4 linked regions of the Caenorhabditis elegans genome follow. The protein of the gene in region 1 purifies or fractionates together with the protein of each later gene. This does not show direct contact. Each region holds a gene or a part of one and is shown in the gene's direction. Other genes may lie near its edges.

Region 1 (5,831 bases):
GATCAGAGTATACTCGAATCTGAGAACAACTAATACATAGTAAAGAAAAGCTTAAAAGGCATATTACCCTAACACCATTCTTGGTTACCGCTTCTTTGAATTGAACGTCACCGACAAAAATTGCCAAAATATAGGACGACATTTTCAATGTTGACTCAAATTCTGTGGTGGAAAAGTCATCGTTAGTTTTTGTATTATCTATTTCCTTAGCATTTGACAAAGCAGTTGAACCGGTTGGATGGACCACAGTGACATGCCAAATCGCCTTGAACTCCGGCTCATCGAAACACGGAACCATGAAACGAGCCGCTGTTGGTTCAAACTGTGTCACAGCGTTGTACCTGAACTTTTATTTTGAAGGACTGTGAATATACTGTCTTACATCGTAGTTTCATTTAATCCTGGCGATATTGTTCTATAATACCCTTCACCATCCTCACGAATTTTTCCAATTTTTCCATATAATGAATACTTAGAATTGGTCTGCTGTCTGTTTTCAAATTTCCTGTTAAATAAAAAGTCACAAATTGCAAGTCGTATGTTGTGTTCAAATGGCTAATAGTGACGTTATCGCCAGCCTAAAATATTGAATCAGATTTTTCAAATTTGCACATACACATGCATTGTGCAAAAGAACATTATTAATATTCAAAGAATCTGTATGCAGAACAATTGTGTCAGTTTCTTCTTTAACTTCAATTTGAATTTTCACATCTCCTATAAAAGTGAAACTTTTTTCGTCGGCTTCCCACTTGTATCCTGGCAAAAAAGTTGTAATATGCAAGCGGTACTCAGTTGGGAAAACATTTCTAGGCAAACGATAATTGGTGTCGTCAGTCTCTTGAGTTCTACAAGTGCAACAAATTTTGGCAGAACTTCTACACGTGTCAATACAACCACACTGAATATTTTGTACTTACACAACTTGTAAATCAGTGGTTTTAAAAAAAGTCAGTAAAATGAATAAGAAGGAAAACCTCATCGGTATCGTATGCCAATCCAAAATGCAAGGTGGAATGAAAACTTTGAAATTAGAACCAACTTAAATAGAAAAATATACTGTGATCAATGAAACCCTTATATTTTGCTCAGTGAATCTAAACAATATCGAAGAAAAAATCTATTCAAGTTAAAAATTGTGTTTTCTATTCAGAAAAGCTAAATTAACACGATAGTTTTGAATGTACAAAAACTCCAGGTTTGATTAAAAAGTATATTCCATTCTGAAATTTTTAGAAATGCATACAAAAGAGAAGCGACAGTTGGGAAACTGTTAAAACCCACTTCTATTGTGCTAAAAAGAACACATGAAATAGTCGAACTTTTCAATCACTTTTTGAACTGTTTTTATTGACTGTTAAAGAGTGGGGATTACAATTTCAATTAACATTTAAAAGTACACATTTGTCTCAATTGAGGACTTTCAAAAAAAAATGGCAAAAACTCAATAATTGCCACTTTTGGACTGTCAATAAATAAATTTTCAAAATTTGTAAAAAGTTTCACTATGATATTTGGTCATTTTGGCATCATAAGAATGGTTTTTAATTCTTTCCCCACTGGTCCTACTCTATGTTTAAGTTGATATATTTTTAGTCGATTGGTGGCCAAAATTCAAGTAATTGTTTTTTTTTTGCAATTTTTAAGCAAAAATGATAAATCTTTTTTCTTAACTTCACAATTTCCATAGGTCAATTGAGTGAATAATCAATCTAAAAAACATTTTCTGATCATCAATTTTAATTATTTATTTTTTTTCTTCAATTTTTTTTTCTGAAAAAATGATTGTTTTATCACGTTCTATGCCGGAAAACACCCAAACAACACATCAACTCGTGATGGCCGCGTTCACATGGCCTAGAAATCTCTAGACAACGACCGCACGCGCACTCCCTCCACGAGGTGGCGTGACATGGGGTTGCACTCTATACTCCCGCTTATCTTTTGTTTTCTCCCGCATTCAGTTTCACTCTGTCCGCGTTTCTTTGACCGCATCCGTTGATACCAAAACTTGCAGGAATTAATCTTCAAAGTCAGCGCCAGATTCAATTTCAAATGACTTCCAAATGGCCCGCTACATCATTCCTTCTGTGACCATATCGTACGTTTTTTTGGCATTTTTGAAGGAAGTCTAAAACATTTCTTGCTTTTTTCAGAGCAATATATGGAGTGTATAAATCATATTGGCCAGATCAAAATGACAAAAAGATAATTCTTTCTGTAGATGACGCTGTCAAACTACTAAATGTCAATACAAACACATCGGAGGCTCTGCGGTTCATTCAACACACAGAGAGTAAGGACCATCTGCCCATTGCCCTAATTATCGATTTTCATTGCAGGCAAGGAATTCCTCAAGTCGTTAAATCCAGCGGCAGTAGCTTTATTGGCAAGATCTGGCTCAGAGCTTTGTATGAAAATTCCAATAAAGTCTTGCCTAGATCAAAAGTTGGATGTCACAGAAGCATTAAGAAAAGTAACTTTTGTGTTATATCTAAAAATACAATTTACAATTTAGTTTAACCTCGGCGACAAATGGAATAGCAGCATAGAATGGATAAATCGAGTTGCCTGTCCGGAAGAAGATTTGTCTTGCTCCGATGAGTGGCTCGTGCGGCTTCCAAGTCAAATTGAGAGGCTACGGAGAATGTTACAGTTGCTGTATTTAACTACAGAGGTTTGTCTTAAACTATTCTTGATGTTGTTTTCGAGAAAAACCTGCTCGAAAACCTGCTAGAAACACTTTCTGCAGTCAAAAAAATTAGCAAAAAAATAAACGTTCTCCTGGCCAATCGCTGGAAAAGTTTGGGGAATAATTTGCAAAATTAAACAAATCATTAACAAAATTAAACATTTAGGTTTTTGTGCGACAAAAAAGAAATTTATAAATATAGCCAAACTTTTCAGAAAACATTTGATGTCTCTGCAATCGACGTCGACGTTGTCCCGTTCCTTTTCAATGTCTACGCAGAGTTCTACCATTCAAACGTGGATATCGCCGTGCTCGCCATCAAAATTCTAGCCAACATTGTTGGAGAGGATGAAAAGTACGCAAAATCAATGCTCGACTCCGAATGGCTACCACTGATAAGTACGATGGTCACCAATGGAAAAAGTTTGATGGAACGACTGTTATCGCATAAAGTGAGTGTTTTTTGATTGATAATGGGGTTTTTTGTGAGAACTAAAATGACAAAGAAATCACGTTCAAGACGAAATGTTTTTTAGGTATGTCAAAATGCGCTGAGCTCATTGAGATCCATCAATTATCGGCTATCATCAGATGTTTACGAGATGTATTTACCGGATGAAGAACCCGAGGTAACTTTTGCTTCCGTTCCAAATATCTGTCAGAAGAATTTTCATCTATCAAAAACTGAGGTTTTACACTACCTGCTGCCTGCAGACAAGTGTCACGTGAGGATACAAAGTGCTAGAGGTGTTTGCGGAGCAGAAGTTGAACTTAGCTTTGTTATGTTTGATCAGCGTGTAGGCAACTCACTTTTTTGTGCACATGAAAAATTTAATTATGAACAACTTTAACAACTGGCATGAACGATTAAAATTTCAAATTTCAGATAGATATAGTTCTAATTCACGGACTGCGTGGCAGTGTGGCCTACACCTGGAGGCAGAAAGATTCCGATGAAAACCTCCTCTCGTCTTGTTGGCCCAAAGATTGGCTTCCGTTGGATATCAAAAAGCCTTTCCGGATAATTGGACTAGAATATCCTTCATACATCTTCCATTTTACCGGAACGCAACAGAGCTTACAGGTAAGAAGCAGAATCATTTAAAAAATGTCTTGGTTATTTTTAAAAATAAAAAAAAAGTATTCAAAAACTTTGTGGGATTTCTTATGCAATAAAACATTCCCATCTTACTCTTGTAATTTTGTTCCGTATTGGAAGCCAATTTTTAAATTCTAGACCCGATCCGAAAGGTTCAAGGAGCAACTGGAAATAGCTGGAATAGGAAAACGGCCTGTCCTTTTTATTTGCCACTCTATGGGAGGTCTTCTCGCCAAAAAGCTGCTTATCGACTCAACCAATCTTCTTAAAAACACTGTTGGAGTGTTGTTCATTGCGACACCACACAAGGGAAGTCCTGTCGCAAACTGGGGATATTCAGTGTTTCAACCAACTGAAGACGTACGGATGCTCAATGAGAATAATGCGATTAATAGAAAAGTGAGCTTTTAAATATTCATTATTTTCTGAAATTAAGTCGTAAAATTCATTTTCAGCTGAACGAAGATTTTTCGGCAGTGAGCAAGGAGATTCCGGTTATTGTTAGTATGGTGGAGACCGTGGAGTCGAATATTATTGGTGAGTTTTTTGAAAACGATTTAAAAGAGTGTTTCAAATGCTCAGTAATAATTTTGATTTTTGAGAGTCTGTTGCATACGTTAATCAATTTTAAATTTCAAAACCCCTCGCAAATTATAAAGTGAAGAACTTTAAAATAATTGTTCCTGGTTAGTTAGCAGCTTCTGTTTCTAAAAACAGAACACATTCCAGATTTTATTAAAACGGCAGTGTCAAAAACAGTTATGAAAAATCGTATAGGTATACTGAAAATCCATTTAGGCCTTTCTGAATTTTTTATCATGACAAAACTTTCGCTACAAAAGCATTTTGTTCAGGAGGAGATAAACAATTTTGAGCGCAACATTTGCCTAGGATTCCCTGCGAGGAGTTTCATTTGCAACAATTTTTGCTCTAGTTCCTTCATTTTTTCTGTTACATTTAAGAAATTAAAAAATAACTTTTGAGAAATGAATGACAAAACAAAACTAAAATCTTAAACAAAACTTTGTTTTTGTTGCCAAAGACCACTTGCCAAAAAATAAATATTTACGCTGATAAAACAAATTTTCCAAAAACTGATCATTTTCCAATTGCATAATGAATTCCAGCCAACGCCAAGAGCATCGTCGTTCCCAACAAATCGGCAGTATTTGAGCAAGGAGCCGTGTATCATATTGCGGATGTCCATCTGAATCTGTGCAAGCCCACCCGGGACAGCGCTTCTTATGGAGTCATTATCAATTTTTTGCAGGACTGCCTGCGCGAAAGTGACAAGCGGAAAAAACTTTAGCTTTTGTATAGTTTTTGTACATATTTTGTAGATTTTTTTGTGTTGTGAGAGTTACTACTTTGTATCCCTGTTCCGTCATCGAAAATTCCTTTGAACGAGCCATCAATTTTGAGAAAATTTTACGGTTTCCCGATATCATGTTTTAGGAAATTTTTTTTTACTTTTCTTTCCTTGTTTCTGACTTTTTCTGACCTTTTTCTGCATAAATATTTGGTTTTTCAATGTTTTTTTCACCAACAAACAATAAGGGGATTGTACCTGACTGAGAACAAACTTTATTGAACCATAACTATAGAATCATTCACACGAAAAAAAGTAATGGATGGAGAGATGTATTTCAATATTTTCCTATTCTCGAATTCAATACCACATTTTCATTTTTCTGTGGATAGATAGAACCGTCCCTTCAGCGGACAATAAAATAAAAAATTCCATTCTTGTGATGTGACAGCCGAAAAAAAAAAGAAACAGAGACATAAAACGGTTTAGATATGCGCGCGTAGAGGAGGCTTGGCAGTTGAAAAACACGTTTCAAACCTAAAGCTGAACATAGTCCAATAATGATTTGTAAAATAATGCCACCCCGCAAAAACCCACGCCATCGGTATGTATGTAGTAGAGCATGTGTACAAAAATATACCCCCACGCTCTTGTCTCGTCTACCCCTTTTTATGTTTTAACGAGAAGGTGAAAGAAATTGGAGATAGAAGAAACAAAATCAGAAACAGGGC
Region 2 (6,403 bases), on another chromosome or scaffold:
ATATGTCATTAAACTTTGGACCTTCAAAGTTCTTTTCAAAATCTGTCAATTCTACAATTACCATTCTTCTTCCTGTTAATTCATTTGGAATACTCACTACACTTCCAGTTTCAACTCCGAAAAGAGTTACTATAAAAACACCATTGGTTCCTTTGAATTATCACGACGACTTTGAAAATTATGAATTCGACGAGGAGCCAAAGTTTTGGATGCCACAAAAAGGATCATGGGTGGTACGAAATGGACGGGCGGTACAGAAAGTGACACGCCCATCAATTAGTTGGTGCACCTCACACATTCGAACTCCATATGCAGTTATGGCGTAAGAATTGATGACTTTGACCTATGAGGAACTACAGTATACCGTATTCCCTCTAATATTTTTACACCTCTTTTCTCAACTTTGGCAGCTCATATCTCAGTAGTAGTTTGTTCTATAGAAAAGTTGTCAACTGATAAAAATTTAGATAGATGTTTTTTCTGTAGTTTGTAGTTTGTTAATTATTTATATGTCCAAAAAGGAGATATGAGGTGTCAAAGTTGAGCAAAGGGGTGCAAAACTAATAGAGGAAATACGGTATACGGTATTCCTTCCATTTAGGTATCGAAAGAAGAATAGTATTCTAAACGCCGAGGTCAATATTCCAAAACACTCAACAGCTAAATCCATCATTCTAGGTATAAGGAGTAATTGTAGTGGTATGTAATTAGTGTTGTGATTCATATTAAAATCTATTACATTTTCAGGATGTGACATAGAAGTAATAAACTGTCGTGGAATATTTGTTGAGATTGAATTTTCAAATAAAAAAGTAACTATATTTTCCGATTTCGTTGACCGTTCAATAATTGCTGAATTCAAAGCACGAAGAAAAGTAGAATTTGGAAAGTTTTATAAATTCTCAATTCATTTACTGGACTCGCATCTCTTCATAAAATTCGGAAATCATCATGTGATGACTTCAGTGGAAATTCCAGAAGAACAATTAAATAAGGTTATTAAAATAATCAATTGAATTTCAAATATAATGTTTTCAGACAAATAATGACACTTTATTCGTGATTGGCACTGGAAATTTTGGCATCTCCGAATGGGATAATATTTCAACAGATTATTTTCACTGAGGCTGATTAATTACATTCAAAAAGTATTTAATATTGCTTGGGCATGTTTCTATTAAAATAAATGTACCATTTTATAATTTACCACATTATTGGAAAATGTCAAAATCAATTGCCACAAAAAACTAGATTCAAACTTCCGCGCAAATGGTACCGCAACGATGCTCCGCGTTTCGCTAAACAACGCGCGCCTCACGCGCGCAGTTTGAATTGAGAACGTTTTCCTGTTTTCTTTTTTTGTCTGAATTGTGTTATTGTGCTATTTATTATCCCTTTTTTGTACATTTTCAAAATTAAAGTATGGCCTCTGCTGTTGGAAAAGGAGTGACCGCTTTCAACACCATCAAAAACATCATTTCGGAACTGAAAAAGGTCGACAAAACATTCTCCCCGAATTCGGCACAATATAAATACCTCATGGAGCAAATGAAAGCCGACCAGGTTACAACAAGAAGATATTCAAAAGCCGAGAACGAGTCAGAGAGCGTTGCAAAACTCTATTTGAGCTATATTAAAGGGTTCGTTTGTTTTATGAGAATAAGAAAGTAATAATCAATATCCATTCATTTTAGAACCCGACAGCTTAATGAACTTCAAGAGAGATATAAGGGTGGCGAGAAGAGTGTTGAAGAGGCTGCTGCTATTGTTGGATTGAAACTTCCAGAACAAAAGAAACTTTAAAATACTTAAAATTGTTATTTCTTTCTCGAATAGATTAGATTCCTGTTTTCTTTTCAATCAAAATAAAATACTTCGTTTTTAAAATACTATTCAGGTTTTTTATAACTTCCTTATGGTTTTCGTACCATTCTATATCTTTTTTATAGTTAATCATCGCCAGAGCATTGGAATTGTTGTTTCAGGTACAAATGACTAGGAATGCTCCTCCAGGTCAAGAATCGACAGATTTAGCATGGCTCGTCACACCCGCAAAAGATCTTGTCGAGAACTTCTCAATCGACGTGTTGAAAGTAAGGATAATTTTTTTTCACGGTTGTATCTTTTCTTTTTCGGTAAATAAAATAAATAATTGCTCGACTTTCAGGCACTCGCCGGATACCTCGAGGTTATCAGACAAGAAAGTGAAGACACAGATAATCAGGTGGATGCAGCGACAACTTACAGATTGTTCGATTTTCAACGAGCATGCCGGATTATTCAAGGATCGTGTGCCGTATATGGTCGAAAAGTAGATCATGTCTATGAACTGACGATTTCAGTTGTGGATTTAGTCGAGAACAAAGGTCAAGATGATGGAAACACCGGCAGTAGACGAGGAGCTGGAAGACGGAAAAATTTTAATTTGGGATCGACGAATTACGACTTGGCTGATATCGACTCACTGAAACAGGAAGCTCTAGCAAATTTTGAGAAGACAGTAAAAGAAGAGAAAAAATCGATTGATGCAGTGAGAATGGTCGAGAATGCTGAAGTTATAGAGTCTCAATATGAGCGAAAAAGCTGTTTAGTAGCAAAGCCAACCCAGTTCATGTTCAAGCTCAATTACGGCCAGCTCAATCGTACTGATGAACAAATTTTGAATGCAAAATCTCGTCCTGATGTTATCGGAAAAGTAAAAGATTTTGAAATTAAAAAGTCGAAAGTTAAACACGATCAACAAATACTCTACTCCCATGATTGTTATCGTGGAAATTTAGACCAATTCACACTACCTGGTGCTCGTTGGATGCCAGATAATAAGGAATTGGCAGCTAATTTTGGTGTTGCTGATTTGGAAGTTGAGTTAGATTTGGAGCAAGAGCATGAGAAGATCAGTGCATATGGACCGTTTAAGGTAAGTGGTAATAATTCGATGAAACATTTTCAAAACTTGATTTCTTCAGGATCCTCTCTCTGGCCGTGAAGTTGTTCCACCTCCTCGTTGGTTCATAGAGCAAGAAGCAGTTCGTCAAAATCAAGAAATTCAATCTCGTGCCACATCGAGAGCCATCACAATTGCAGCTAAAACTCTTCGAGATTCTCAAGGCTTTGGATCTCAACCAACTCGTCTCTCACAACCATTTGTTGAACGACATCGACAGAGTAATCATTTGAATGATTTCTTGTCATTTGTGGAGGGAAGAGTTAATAAGAATCGCCCGAGCACTCATCTTACCACTGGCTTAGTTGATATGTTCGTTGATAACTTTGGATCTGTTATGCAAAACGATGAACCAAACACTAGTAGAAGACCTGATGAGAATTACGCGCCCATGGACTTTGATGATGATTTTGGTGGTGGAGGAGACGATGACGACGATGATTATATTCGAAATTTGTCCAGAAGGGATGAGAAGCGAGCACCGGCACCATGGGACGAGCTGGATAAAAATCATATTATTTGGTACACGGGAGACGAGAATCTGCCAGGTATTTGTTGAATTAATGGGATTCTTTCGGTATTTTTTAGATTATATATATATATGAGCCGTGGACCGCACCTCCGGCGCGGCCCCCGACTTCTGGAGCTGAAAACCAATTTTTCTGAAACTACCGTAATCATACAGTACTCCTACCGTAATCATACAGTACTCCTACCGTACCACCATTGTACCACTACAGTACCCCGACTATATCCCTACACTAACCCCAACTCACTATCCCTCCAGAAGCTAAAACTTCGCAGACTACAAAGACTACATAGACTACAAGCTATGGACAAACGGAATAAGCGCTTTATATATAGTAAATGATATATTTCAGTCGTTAGCAAGCCGGTAAAAAAGATCACGAAATTCCAACCAAAACCCGCTGAAATGTTGGCTAGGAAGCAACGACGTGAGGAAAAGATCAATAAGTCTCGACGAGACGAGTTCATGGAAACTCACGACTATCTGCAGGATTACTACTATTGGAGAAGTGCGGCTCGTATAAATCCGATTAAGGACTGGAAGATAGAATCACTTCGTACTGCTATTCTAGCCGAGAAGAAACGAAGAATCAAGGAAAAGACTGCAAAAATCCGAGAAGCTCGTATCCAGAATATGCAGAGAAAACGGACAGCTCGTGTGATACCCGTGGAGCAATTTGAACCGGTAACAGAGGATATTCCAACGTCTAATAGAAGAACCCTCGGAGCTGAATGTAAGAAATTTCAATTTTATGAAATTTAAACTGAATTATATTTTTTCCAGATGACGACGTAGTCGATGAAGATCTTGCTGCCGAAGTCGAGCTCTCAATGTTTGGAGGTGGGTTCGATGACGACGAAGAAGACGTGCGGCCACGTGGTGAACGGCCTCCTATGGCTCCAAACAACCTAGAATTCGATGCTCTTCAAACAGATTTTGATATTCCGCCTGCTGAATATGTTCCATTAAGATTCGAGGATATTGATGATGCCGAACTGAACAGTGTTATCAATTTACCTGGAAATTTGCTCATCGACAGTAAGTTATTTGCAAAATTTTATAATAAAATTTTAAAATTAATACTTTGAAATTGTACTCTCTCAAGTCTATCAAGTAAATTTTCTATTTACAGAAGCTTTACCATTGCTCAAGAAGTTTGCTGAAAATCGAACAGATCGCGAACAAATGGCTTACGAGATGGCTAAAGCATATGAAGATGTGGATGTTGCCGTGTCAACTCTACAAGAACATGTTGACAAATGGCATTCTCGAATGGAACCAATCCTCGAAGAAGGAGAAACTCGAAAAGAGTATGATGTATGTTTTAGAGTATTTAATCTTAAAGGTGGAGTAGTGCCAGTGGGGATTTTGTCTAAATACACTTATAGTGATTCAAAACAACCGAATATCATAATAAAACACTCCAAAAAGTTTTAGATTTTTCATAATTTCCGGTCAAAGTTTTGGCAAATTGCCAAAATTTTGAAAAATATGAGCTTTTGAGGTTATTTAAAGAAATGTCGTATGTTTCGACCCCTACAATGTTTTAATACAATTAATTTAAACAAAATTAAAACAATAAAAAATGTAATAAATTTTTTTGGTCGACTTCCAAACATATGAGTGGCAAAAACTGAGTAATTGCCAGTTTTTGACAGTAAATAAAAAAATTTTCAAAAGTTTTATCATGATATTTGGTCATTTTGGAACCAAAGGAGTGGTTTTTAACAATTTCCCCACTGGCGCTACTCCACCTTTAATATTCTGGTCAACCACAGTAATTTGAAAAGTCAAAATGTCTAAATGTTTGAATTTCTCAATTATAATAATTTTCAGGTTCACGCAGTTGGTCGTGCTGTCATTGGCCAATACGATATTGAAGGTGGCACGAAACGTTTACTAGATTTGGTTATGGATCGTCCATGGTACGAAATCAGTCGATACTTCCTTTCGTGCCTCTTTATGTGTAATGTCGGAAATGTCATGGTCAGCGAGGACATGGAACTGCCACTCGAGGAAAGAATCAACTCGATGAAAATCACACTACTCAAAAGAGATATGCATTGTGAAATGTTCAAGGAGGCTGGCGCTCTTGATGCCTAATTTATAATTATTGTTTTTTTTGCATTAAATCTCCCGAAAACCATCTTAATTTATTTAAACATTCCTCATTGTCTCTACTTGTATCTCGATTTCTGGCTATACTTTCATTTTACTGTATCAATTAATTAACTTCTAGATGCCAAGTATTTTTCTTCTGTTCGTTATGGTACTTTACTGACTGTACAATAACTTTTTTTCCGACGAATTACCACTATTTCTTTGATTGTTTTTTAATTACGTCCTTCATTTTTTATTCAATCTTAAAAATAAATCGACTGGTTTTAATATCAAAGGCCCAAATCATAATTCAATTCCTGGTGCGTGGCATATGCGTTCATGAATGCAGCGCCATGTTCCAAAGATTGGGTGACGGATTGAACAACATCTGAAGAAATCATTTTCTGGAACCATTTTGTCAATTTAGGATATTCTTCTTCTCCTGGGAATTCAATTGTTGGTAAATCGACAACTCCATCCAAACTAGCTGACCACCAAATTTTCTCAAAAAATGGAAATGATAAGTAGTCTGGATAACCTGGTTGAGATCCTGAATAGTTTGAATTTGGTCAAAAAATTGTATCGATTAATTGAACTCACCAGCATAAAAATCATTGGCCAAGAGATTTTCAGCTTGTTTCAAAACTTCAAAAACTTTTCGCTGCTTTTCATCTTTCAAAGTTCGGTCTCGCATGACGGCGAAGAGCAATGGAACTGCATGGGCTACCTGAATTGCTTATTTAAAACAAAATAGTTTAGAAAATAGAAAAATTCAAGATCATATTTGAATTTCCTCCAAAATGAATAGCCACGCCCACTCTCAAACCAAT
Region 3 (4,627 bases), on another chromosome or scaffold:
AATGTAACTTCAAAAATCATTCTTATCAATGTTTAATTCCGGTCTTTCCAATATTTCATACAAAATGAACGAACTCCGAATTTGGCTTGATTTTATTTTAATCTTGGCATCTTGTGGTGCATGATTCGGCAAGAATAATTCAATATCAGAAAGTTCGAACATAATTTTTTTGCAATAATCTTTCCGCTTTTATTCGTTTTCAGACTCACAAAGACATTTAACTCATTTACTTTTTATTATTTTAGCTAGTGAAGTTTGAGATTTGGTCCCAGTGTTATTATTGATATCAAGACCAGATAAACTTGTTTCCGGTTTAACTCACAACAAAGCTAACGATTTCCGTTTGCGTGTCGTTTAAAAAACTTTACTCAATTGGCGTAGTTCTCTCTTTTTCAAAACGCTTTTCTAATCTATCTATTTTTCTGACCAGCTATCATAAAACCATAGCAACATAAATGTTTCCCTATAGAGCATCGGGTATTCTGTTTTTTTTTGATTGATAATATAAATATATCTCCCTCTAACCCAAATACACAACCAACAATCACATTATCTTTTTTCCTTCTTTTTGATCATTCCCACGCTCAAGTAGTCTCGCGATTTTTGAGTGTATTTCATTCAACATGCAAGTCAGAAGTTGTTCTCGTGTTTTTGTTTTGTTATTCACCTTTTAGTTTCTTTGTTACAGAGAGGCTTAATTGGGAATCTGCGGTAGTCAAGGAAACCGGGGGGAGAGGACCGCCGCTAATCATCACTACCTTCCTTCTCATTTCATTTAATCATAACTTTGCTTTTTTCCCTTTTCTTCTCTCGTGTTCTCCACAACTTTTTTTTTACATTTTTGTGTTGTCACGACTTTTAAGCCTATGTGATTTTAAATTTGTGTTGAGCTCATGCGCTTTTCGGAAAAATTTTGCGAACATAACGATTACAACTGGTTTCAAACAAAAATGTAATTTATCGCCATTTCATTTAAATATTTCTTGACTTTGACGGGTAGTGAAAAAGTGTTCAGATGTTTTTCGGTGAACCAAAATCTGTGGTTTTAGAGAAAGTTTCCAAATGTCATTTTGAACGTTCTTGAAAAACTGGTTCATCTTTAACATTGAGACAAAAAACAATTTGTGTTAAAGAAAAAAACATCCCAATCTAAAGTACAAATCTACAAATCTAAAGTAACTATGTTCTTCACGTGCTACCATGTTGCTTTTTCATGGAAAATTATGGCGTCACACAAGGTCTTGAAATTTAGGATTTACCTATCTCTCTTTAAGTCTAACAAGTTCTTTCGAAATTATATTGTCGTTTCTAGTGTTGATGACTTTTGAAAATTAGTCAACGAGTTTGGTTTCATCCCGAGTTACGTATCTATTTATTTTTTTTTTTTGGTACATATTCAGTTTGTCGCGCGGCTTTGAAATACGGGTTTCAAATAATTTTTTTTGAAGGAATGTTCTCTTGCATTGATGGATTTGAAAATTCTCATGAAAATAGTAACTTTTTTTGACGAAACTTGTACATTCTCTCTGAGCAATACAGTGGAAATTGACTTTATTTCCGGTGTGAAATCTACATTTTCGTTGCCGAAAAGTCTGTTCAGTTTGTCTCGACAAGCTTTCTGAAACTTTTTTTTTGGCATGACAACATGTTTTGTTTTTTTTTTTCTGATTAGTCATTTCATTTGTCTCGTTGTCTAAGTTGAATCTCGCTGGCATCCTATAATTAAAGTTTGCGTTCTCTATCATAATCGTCATAATCTTTGAATTATTTTTGTTCTTTCAAAAATTTCAATATATGTTCAGGGAAACATGGGGGTCTGTCAGTCATTTGTACTCACTGACGAGATGAAGGATCAGATCAAAGTTAACAAGTCAGTTTTTGAGTTACATGTTTCATAATTGTCGTTAATATTTCAGAGAAATAGAAAAACAGCTCGAAAAGAAGAAAAACATGCAATTGGAGCAAACCGTTCTTCTACTGGGGCCTGGTGAAAGTGGAAAAAGTACTGTCATGAAACAGATGAGGTATATTTGATTTTTTAATAATTCTTGTACATGACCTAATATTTTGAATTAACAACGGGAAAATAAATAGGTTTCTGATTATACCTTGGGAGTTGTGTCTGTTTCTTTCTGTTTACAGTTTGAAAATTAATTAATAACTATTATATTTCCTGTTATATGGGTAGCCAAACATTCTATTTTCAGAGCCATGACTGGAAACTACACAAAGACAGAACTACACGAACGAAAAGTGCTAATTATACAGAATTTATGTCAATTTTCTGAGATGTTGTTAGAATACGTCAGAGAATATATTTTGGAGATGACGGAAGACGATGATAAAGTGAGTTTTGCGACCTCTCGGGTTTTATTAGGTTTCAAATTAAAAACTTTTAGCGATATACTGTGATGTGCGAAGAACTGAAAATGGCGGTAATTCATGATGGAATAATGAGACCTGAACTCGCCGATACACTGAAGGAATTCTGGGGAAACAGTGCAATACAGGACGCGTATTCCAAGAGAGACACATTTCATTTGACAGATAGTGCCAAGTAGTGAGTTTTTTTTTTGGAAACTTGTAGCGCATTCATAGTTAGAATTATAGAAAAATGTTTCAATTGATTCAAAAACACGTTTCAAAAATGTCTGAAATGTTTCTTAAAATATTCTTTTATGTCACACAGTTATTATTTAAATGTTTCGAGTTATGTATATGTTTGTTCGTTCACAAATAAAACCAAACTACAGACATTGTTCGTGTATCTGTCATTTGGTCTAACGGAACATGTAATTAACAGGTCTAGAAAAAAAAAATTGTGATAGTGATCGCTGAAGTCTATGATGTTAACTTGTTTATGTTCTTGTTCTAGCAGGCAAATTTTGCAATAAAAAATCAATTGAATAACTACATTAAATTATCTCAAAATTGTGTTATTTGAACTTAATAATTCATTTTCAGTTTCTTCGACAACATCGACCGTATAAAATTGCCAGGCTTTGAACCGACAAATCAGGATATTGTTCACATACGGGTACCTACAACGGGAGTTGCACAAGTCGAAGTTATTATGAACAATATCAAATTGATGATTTGCGATTGTGGTGGACAACGATCTGAAAGACGAAAAGTTGGAAATTTAACTATTTCTTTGTTTCCTAATTGAGAATTTAATTTCAGTGGTATCACTTTTTCGATGAGGCTGACGCTGTTCTTTTTGTAGCGGCTATTAGCGAGTTTGATCAGAAGTTAGCGGAGGATGAAGAGACGGTAATTTTTCCAAACAGCCACAAAATTGAAACGAAAAATTAAATTTTAGAACCGTATGCATGAATCCATCAGATTGTTCTGGACAGTTTTTAATGGAAAGTTTTTCAAAAAAGCGGCAGTCATACTTTTCCTGAACAAAATTGATTTGTTCGAGGAGAAAGTAAAACATGTGAAGATTAAGGATTACTTTCCAAAATTTGAAGGTTTGTTTTCCAAGTTTTTGAATTCATAGTTTCATGTTTCAGGAGCAAACACAGTTTCAGAAGGTACAAAGTTCTTTCGGAGACAATTTAGAGAAGGGATTCACCCGGACTTCAAAAAAAGAATGTGAGTTTTTGAGACTACAGTTTTGTGTCTACTGCACTTTTGAAAATCTAACTATGAACTTACAAACTAAAAGAATTCTGAACGTATTCGACTTCTTGGATATTTTTGACTTTTTTGTGCCAGTATGGAACACTAACAGTACTAGAAAATAAAATGTAAATTTCAAAAACGTAATTTTACAGGTACACCCATGAAACATGTGCAATATCGGATCAAGTTCAAATAATCATCAATACAGTGATAGATACAGTTATTCAAGATAATCTCAAAGATACGGGAATGATATGAACTCCAATCGCTCTGCACAAATTATTGTTCTTCAATTTAGTATCTGCCTCAAACAACGTGTGTGATTAGTAATAATTATTCCCTATTCTATTTGAGTGGTGTCATTTTTTATTGATTGAAATTTATCGTGACTGAAACTCTGATGAAAATTTGTACTAATTTTCAGTGTAAAGTGAGAACCAAATAAGATTAAAGGAACATACATATTTATTCGAATCTCTTTTAGAAGAAAAATGTTCAATCGTTTTTACCTGACTTTTCACATCTTCTCAAACAAAAACATGCGACAAGATAAATGGACAGAATTCCAAAAATATACGGAAAGATAATAACAAGGTATACATCTAAAAGATTTCTTTGAATGAATCCAAGTGTCCTCCCATATGGATCCATTTCCGGGAACGGACCAAATTTTGCAACAAATTCAGTGTATTTGACTACGGTCTCCTTGGGATTTGTTGGTTGGTTTCTCAACATTTCTGCCAGTTTTTTAGAGTTCTTCTTAAAATGATCGTCGTTCAAAATTGAATAAATGGAATTTTTCACAAGTTCCCTTTTCCAAAGATCGTTTCGACTACAAGAACTCCTCCATGTCTTGCCAACATCAAAGAATTTCTGTTTTGATCGGCAAATACTGGTACCATTAATGCTGGTTTACCAAGATACGCAAGTTCAGTTGTGCTACCAAGACCTCCATGTGTCATGAATGCTGTTAAACGGTCATCATTTAGTAATGCGG
Region 4 (3,328 bases), on another chromosome or scaffold:
TTAATATTATTCCCAGAGAGGAACATTGCAACATTTTCGTTCAGTATGTCATGAATTCTTCACTAAATAAGCCATCTTCACTAAATAAGCCATGGTATCAAGGAAGTGTAGATGATAAGTGGAAAAAAAAAGAACCGGACGATGAGAAACAAGAAGCAAAAAAACGAGAAAATGAGAAGAGTGTATGTGTGTCTTTTGAAAATGAGCACTCTTTTGGAGCACAGGCAGAGCAAAGTGGATTCTGCGCTGGGAAAACACCGACTAGGCAAAGGCAGATAATCAAATTGACCCCATAGGCTAATAGTAGCTGCTTTTCGCAATAGAGACTTGACTATAATGATTCGTTTTTTTTTGTTTTCTATTTTATTTTTTGGGTTTTGGTTTTCTATTCTGACGTTCTAAATCAAAACCTTACTTTTCAGTTTTTTTTTGAAAACATACAATTACCAAAACTTGAACCCAACAACTCAGAAAGAGTTGCCATAGCACATATTCAATCAACGGCGAACAAAGTAACAAGTAACAAAATTTTGTTATTTTTTGCGGAGAATTTCAGAGAAAAGCAACTGCAACGAAAAAAGTAGACGTCGAAGTGACATGAAAAGCAAATAAGGAATCGGAAATTTGTGAGTTTAGCTGGGGGATTACAGAGGATATATTAAAAAAATTTTAGGAACAAACTTCGCATGAACGGAATAAACAAGCACGTGGACCGGAGAATTTAGGTTACTCGAGGTCTATTCTCAAATAAGGCTTTTGAGTTGGGTTAAGAAATTAGAAAATTATGTCCAAGAGATTTCCCAACTTTTTGGAAAAAGTGAATAGGTGGCAGAAAGAAAAATTGCGTTAGAGTAGTTTTTCATATATAATCTTGACTTTCAGATGTTTTGTAAAACATGTGAACAACTATAGGAGTTTTCAAGAAACTTTTCTTTCTGAAAAAAATATGATCACTTTTAAAGGCTTCCACATTTGGAGCAGGGATGTGCGGCAAATCTCAAAATTTGCCGCGCTCGGCAAACTCGGCAAATTTGCCGTTTTCAACAGACTCCGGAAAAATGTTATATTTTAGATGTATTTTGGAGCACCAAAGATATCACACATCTGATTTCTGAATAAGTTTCGTGAGCTGTGTCAGCTTAAACATCAAATTAACTCCATTTTGTGGAATTTTACTAAATTTTAGGGGACAAATTCAATAGTTTTGGGCAAAATTGTTTTGTCAAATTTTTGGTGTGCTGCAAATTTCGAAATTTGTCGAGCTCGAGCATCGTTGATTTGAAGCAATTTGCACTGGAAAAATAATCAGATAGAATTTTATCCTGATCACAATACTTGTCAATTTTTTGTAGTAGCCTATTTTAAAATTTCTTTTTTTCAAATGGCATTTATGATCTCCGTATTGGTAATCTCTGTGACCAGGAAGTGATTCAAAGAATCATTCACGGTGATACCAAGAGCGTTTATAAAATTTGCTGAACAGTTTTTTAGATGGTTTGGCCACACAACCATATTAATAATTGTTTTATTGGACTTTTAGGTAGAATTTCAGATTGGAAGATTTCTGGGTGTTTTGTCAGCTAGCATTCGACAATTGAAAGAGATTTACGGATTTTTCTAAACGAATCTATACTAGAACTTCAACCAAACATTATCCAGTTTGACCTTCTTCTTATCTAAACCAGGAAGTGTTGAGTATAGTCATTCGATTTCTTTATCTCTCAACGTGTTTATCCATTTCTCCAGTAGTATAAAACGGTGATCATTTCAATTATTCTGTCAATTTTGCAAAATGAATCTTCTTCTTACCTTTTTGGCTACTATTCTGTGTGTCAGTGAGTTAGTCTCGACACTTCAACCGGAGTGCAAACTTCCATTGGACATGGGAAAAACACCATGTAAAAATGGAAAGAAGGAGATAAGAGTGAGTTTTGATTTTTCAAAGCTTTCATGTCGCTTTTTTTTGGAAACTTTGGAATTTTTGGAAATTGGAAAAAAATATAGAAAAACATTGGTACTTTCTGAAAATAGCTATACGTTTAATTGAAAATTCCGAGAATTTGCTCAAAAACTGACTCAAAAGTCAACGTGCCGAAATAACACTGAGACTGTAAGTCTTTTCAAAATTTCAACTTTTCAAAACTTTCAACAAAAGCAAAATTATTTTCAGAAACTAAACATATTTCTCAATATTTTTATTTCATAAAATTCATAAAGTATAAAGTCTTAATAATTTACAGTACCACTTTGACCAAAAATCCAATATCCCATTGGCTTTTGAGTACAGTGGATGTGGAGGAAACAAGAATAATTTCAAAACTGAGAGTGAATGTCGATTTACATGTACTGGATGTATGTTTTTTCATTTGAATTTTTTACTTTAAACCAAAGTATTTAGATGATCAATCGGGATGTGCCGCTGGAAGTAAGCCAATAAACGATAAAAACTGCCAAACCGATGTAAGTTGCTCCATGTTTTTGAAAAAATCTGTAAAAATTCCAGGAAGAATGTGGGCCAAAAGGTATCTGTAGGTACTCTAATCATATTAATATTTGCTGTGACAAGAAGATTGAAAAGTTGATTGAAGCTGATTATGAGCCAAAATGTCCAAAAGGAAAGAAAGTTGCAAAAATTGTCGAGGGTGGAATCCCTACAACGATTGTTGGGAAGAGTTGCAAATCAAAGTTCTGTCCAGCTGGAGCAACCTGTGTGGAGGGAACATATTTTGCCACTTGCTGCAATTAATTATTTTCGGCCGTGCATGTTTATCTATATAAACTTTTTTATTAATGAATTAATATAACTAATATAACCTTTTCCAAACAATTCGTCTGAAATCTTTAGATTTTCGGACTCCAGCAAATATACAAAGCTATCGATTTGTATATGATATCCCACTGTTTTAAATGAAAAATTTAATGTAGAAGCATATTATAAAAAACCAGCCGTTTGCACGTGCTCCGACTGGCGTACGGTAAATTGTTTTAATAAATTTTAAACTGCTAATGTAAGATTTTTGTACAGTCAACACTTTTCCTGGAGTTTTGCGGAATTTCAAGAAAATTCTAAAACTTTTCCAGAGTTTCTAGAAAATTCTAGAACCATCCTGCTTTTTATGTAAAAAGTCCTAGAAGGGACAAATTTTAAGCGCTTTCAGAATTTAATTACAAAAATTTCCAGGTGCCAGAAGCTTTCAGTTTGATCAAAAAAACTAAATTTCATGCAATATGACCGCATTTTTTTATTGGGAGATTTACTACGTTTGCATTACTTTAAAAATTAAGACTCTGGCCGTTCACCAAAATTAGTGACTCTGGCCGTTCACCA

Evidence for each region.
Region 2: the proteins of F17H10.1 (region 1) and kle-2 fractionate together in Caenorhabditis elegans (co-fractionation; one large-scale study listed by BioGRID). This does not show direct contact.
Region 3: the proteins of F17H10.1 (region 1) and gpa-10 fractionate together in Caenorhabditis elegans (co-fractionation; one large-scale study listed by BioGRID). This does not show direct contact.
Region 4: the proteins of F17H10.1 (region 1) and Y49G5A.1 fractionate together in Caenorhabditis elegans (co-fractionation; one large-scale study listed by BioGRID). This does not show direct contact.

The regions. Positions count from the first base shown.
Region 1 is NC_003284.9:13,103,224-13,109,054, forward strand, and holds F17H10.1 (GPI inositol-deacylase), read left to right. Parts: upstream 1-2,017; 5' UTR 2,018-2,066; coding exon 2,067-2,101; intron 2,102-2,156; coding exon 2,157-2,296; intron 2,297-2,342; coding exon 2,343-2,476; intron 2,477-2,518; coding exon 2,519-2,677; intron 2,678-2,907; coding exon 2,908-3,144; intron 3,145-3,228; coding exon 3,229-3,321; intron 3,322-3,578; coding exon 3,579-3,776; intron 3,777-3,929; coding exon 3,930-4,190; intron 4,191-4,246; coding exon 4,247-4,328; intron 4,329-4,918; coding exon 4,919-5,100; 3' UTR 5,101-5,320; downstream 5,321-5,831.
Region 2 is NC_003281.10:7,939,732-7,946,134, forward strand, and holds kle-2 (Condensin-2 complex subunit kle-2), read left to right. Parts: upstream 1-1,985; 5' UTR 1,986-1,991; coding exon 1,992-2,093; intron 2,094-2,167; coding exon 2,168-2,917; intron 2,918-2,966; coding exon 2,967-3,492; intron 3,493-3,825; coding exon 3,826-4,206; intron 4,207-4,256; coding exon 4,257-4,511; intron 4,512-4,605; coding exon 4,606-4,790; intron 4,791-5,309; coding exon 5,310-5,576; 3' UTR 5,577-5,862; downstream 5,863-6,403. Other genes in the region: C29E4.10 (Putative galactocerebrosidase), read left to right, coding at 1-322, 602-699, 748-995, 1,039-1,125; C29E4.12 (Protein FMC1 homolog), read left to right, coding at 1,423-1,640, 1,695-1,803; gsto-1 (Glutathione transferase omega-1), read right to left, coding at 5,864-6,123, 6,174-6,300. UniProt on the Caenorhabditis elegans protein: Regulatory subunit of the condensin II complex, a complex that seems to play a role in prophase chromosome condensation and in chromosome segregation in mitosis and in meiosis.
Region 3 is NC_003283.11:6,851,985-6,856,611, reverse strand, and holds gpa-10 (Guanine nucleotide-binding protein alpha-10 subunit), read left to right. Parts: upstream 1-1,800; 5' UTR 1,801-1,808; coding exon 1,809-1,870; intron 1,871-1,916; coding exon 1,917-2,024; intron 2,025-2,207; coding exon 2,208-2,346; intron 2,347-2,399; coding exon 2,400-2,560; intron 2,561-2,964; coding exon 2,965-3,133; intron 3,134-3,183; coding exon 3,184-3,273; intron 3,274-3,322; coding exon 3,323-3,476; intron 3,477-3,518; coding exon 3,519-3,600; intron 3,601-3,782; coding exon 3,783-3,888; 3' UTR 3,889-4,091; downstream 4,092-4,627.
Region 4 is NC_003283.11:5,285,825-5,289,152, reverse strand, and holds Y49G5A.1 (BPTI/Kunitz inhibitor domain-containing protein), read left to right. Parts: upstream 1-1,779; 5' UTR 1,780-1,792; coding exon 1,793-1,924; intron 1,925-2,240; coding exon 2,241-2,352; intron 2,353-2,398; coding exon 2,399-2,460; intron 2,461-2,503; coding exon 2,504-2,746; 3' UTR 2,747-2,810; downstream 2,811-3,328.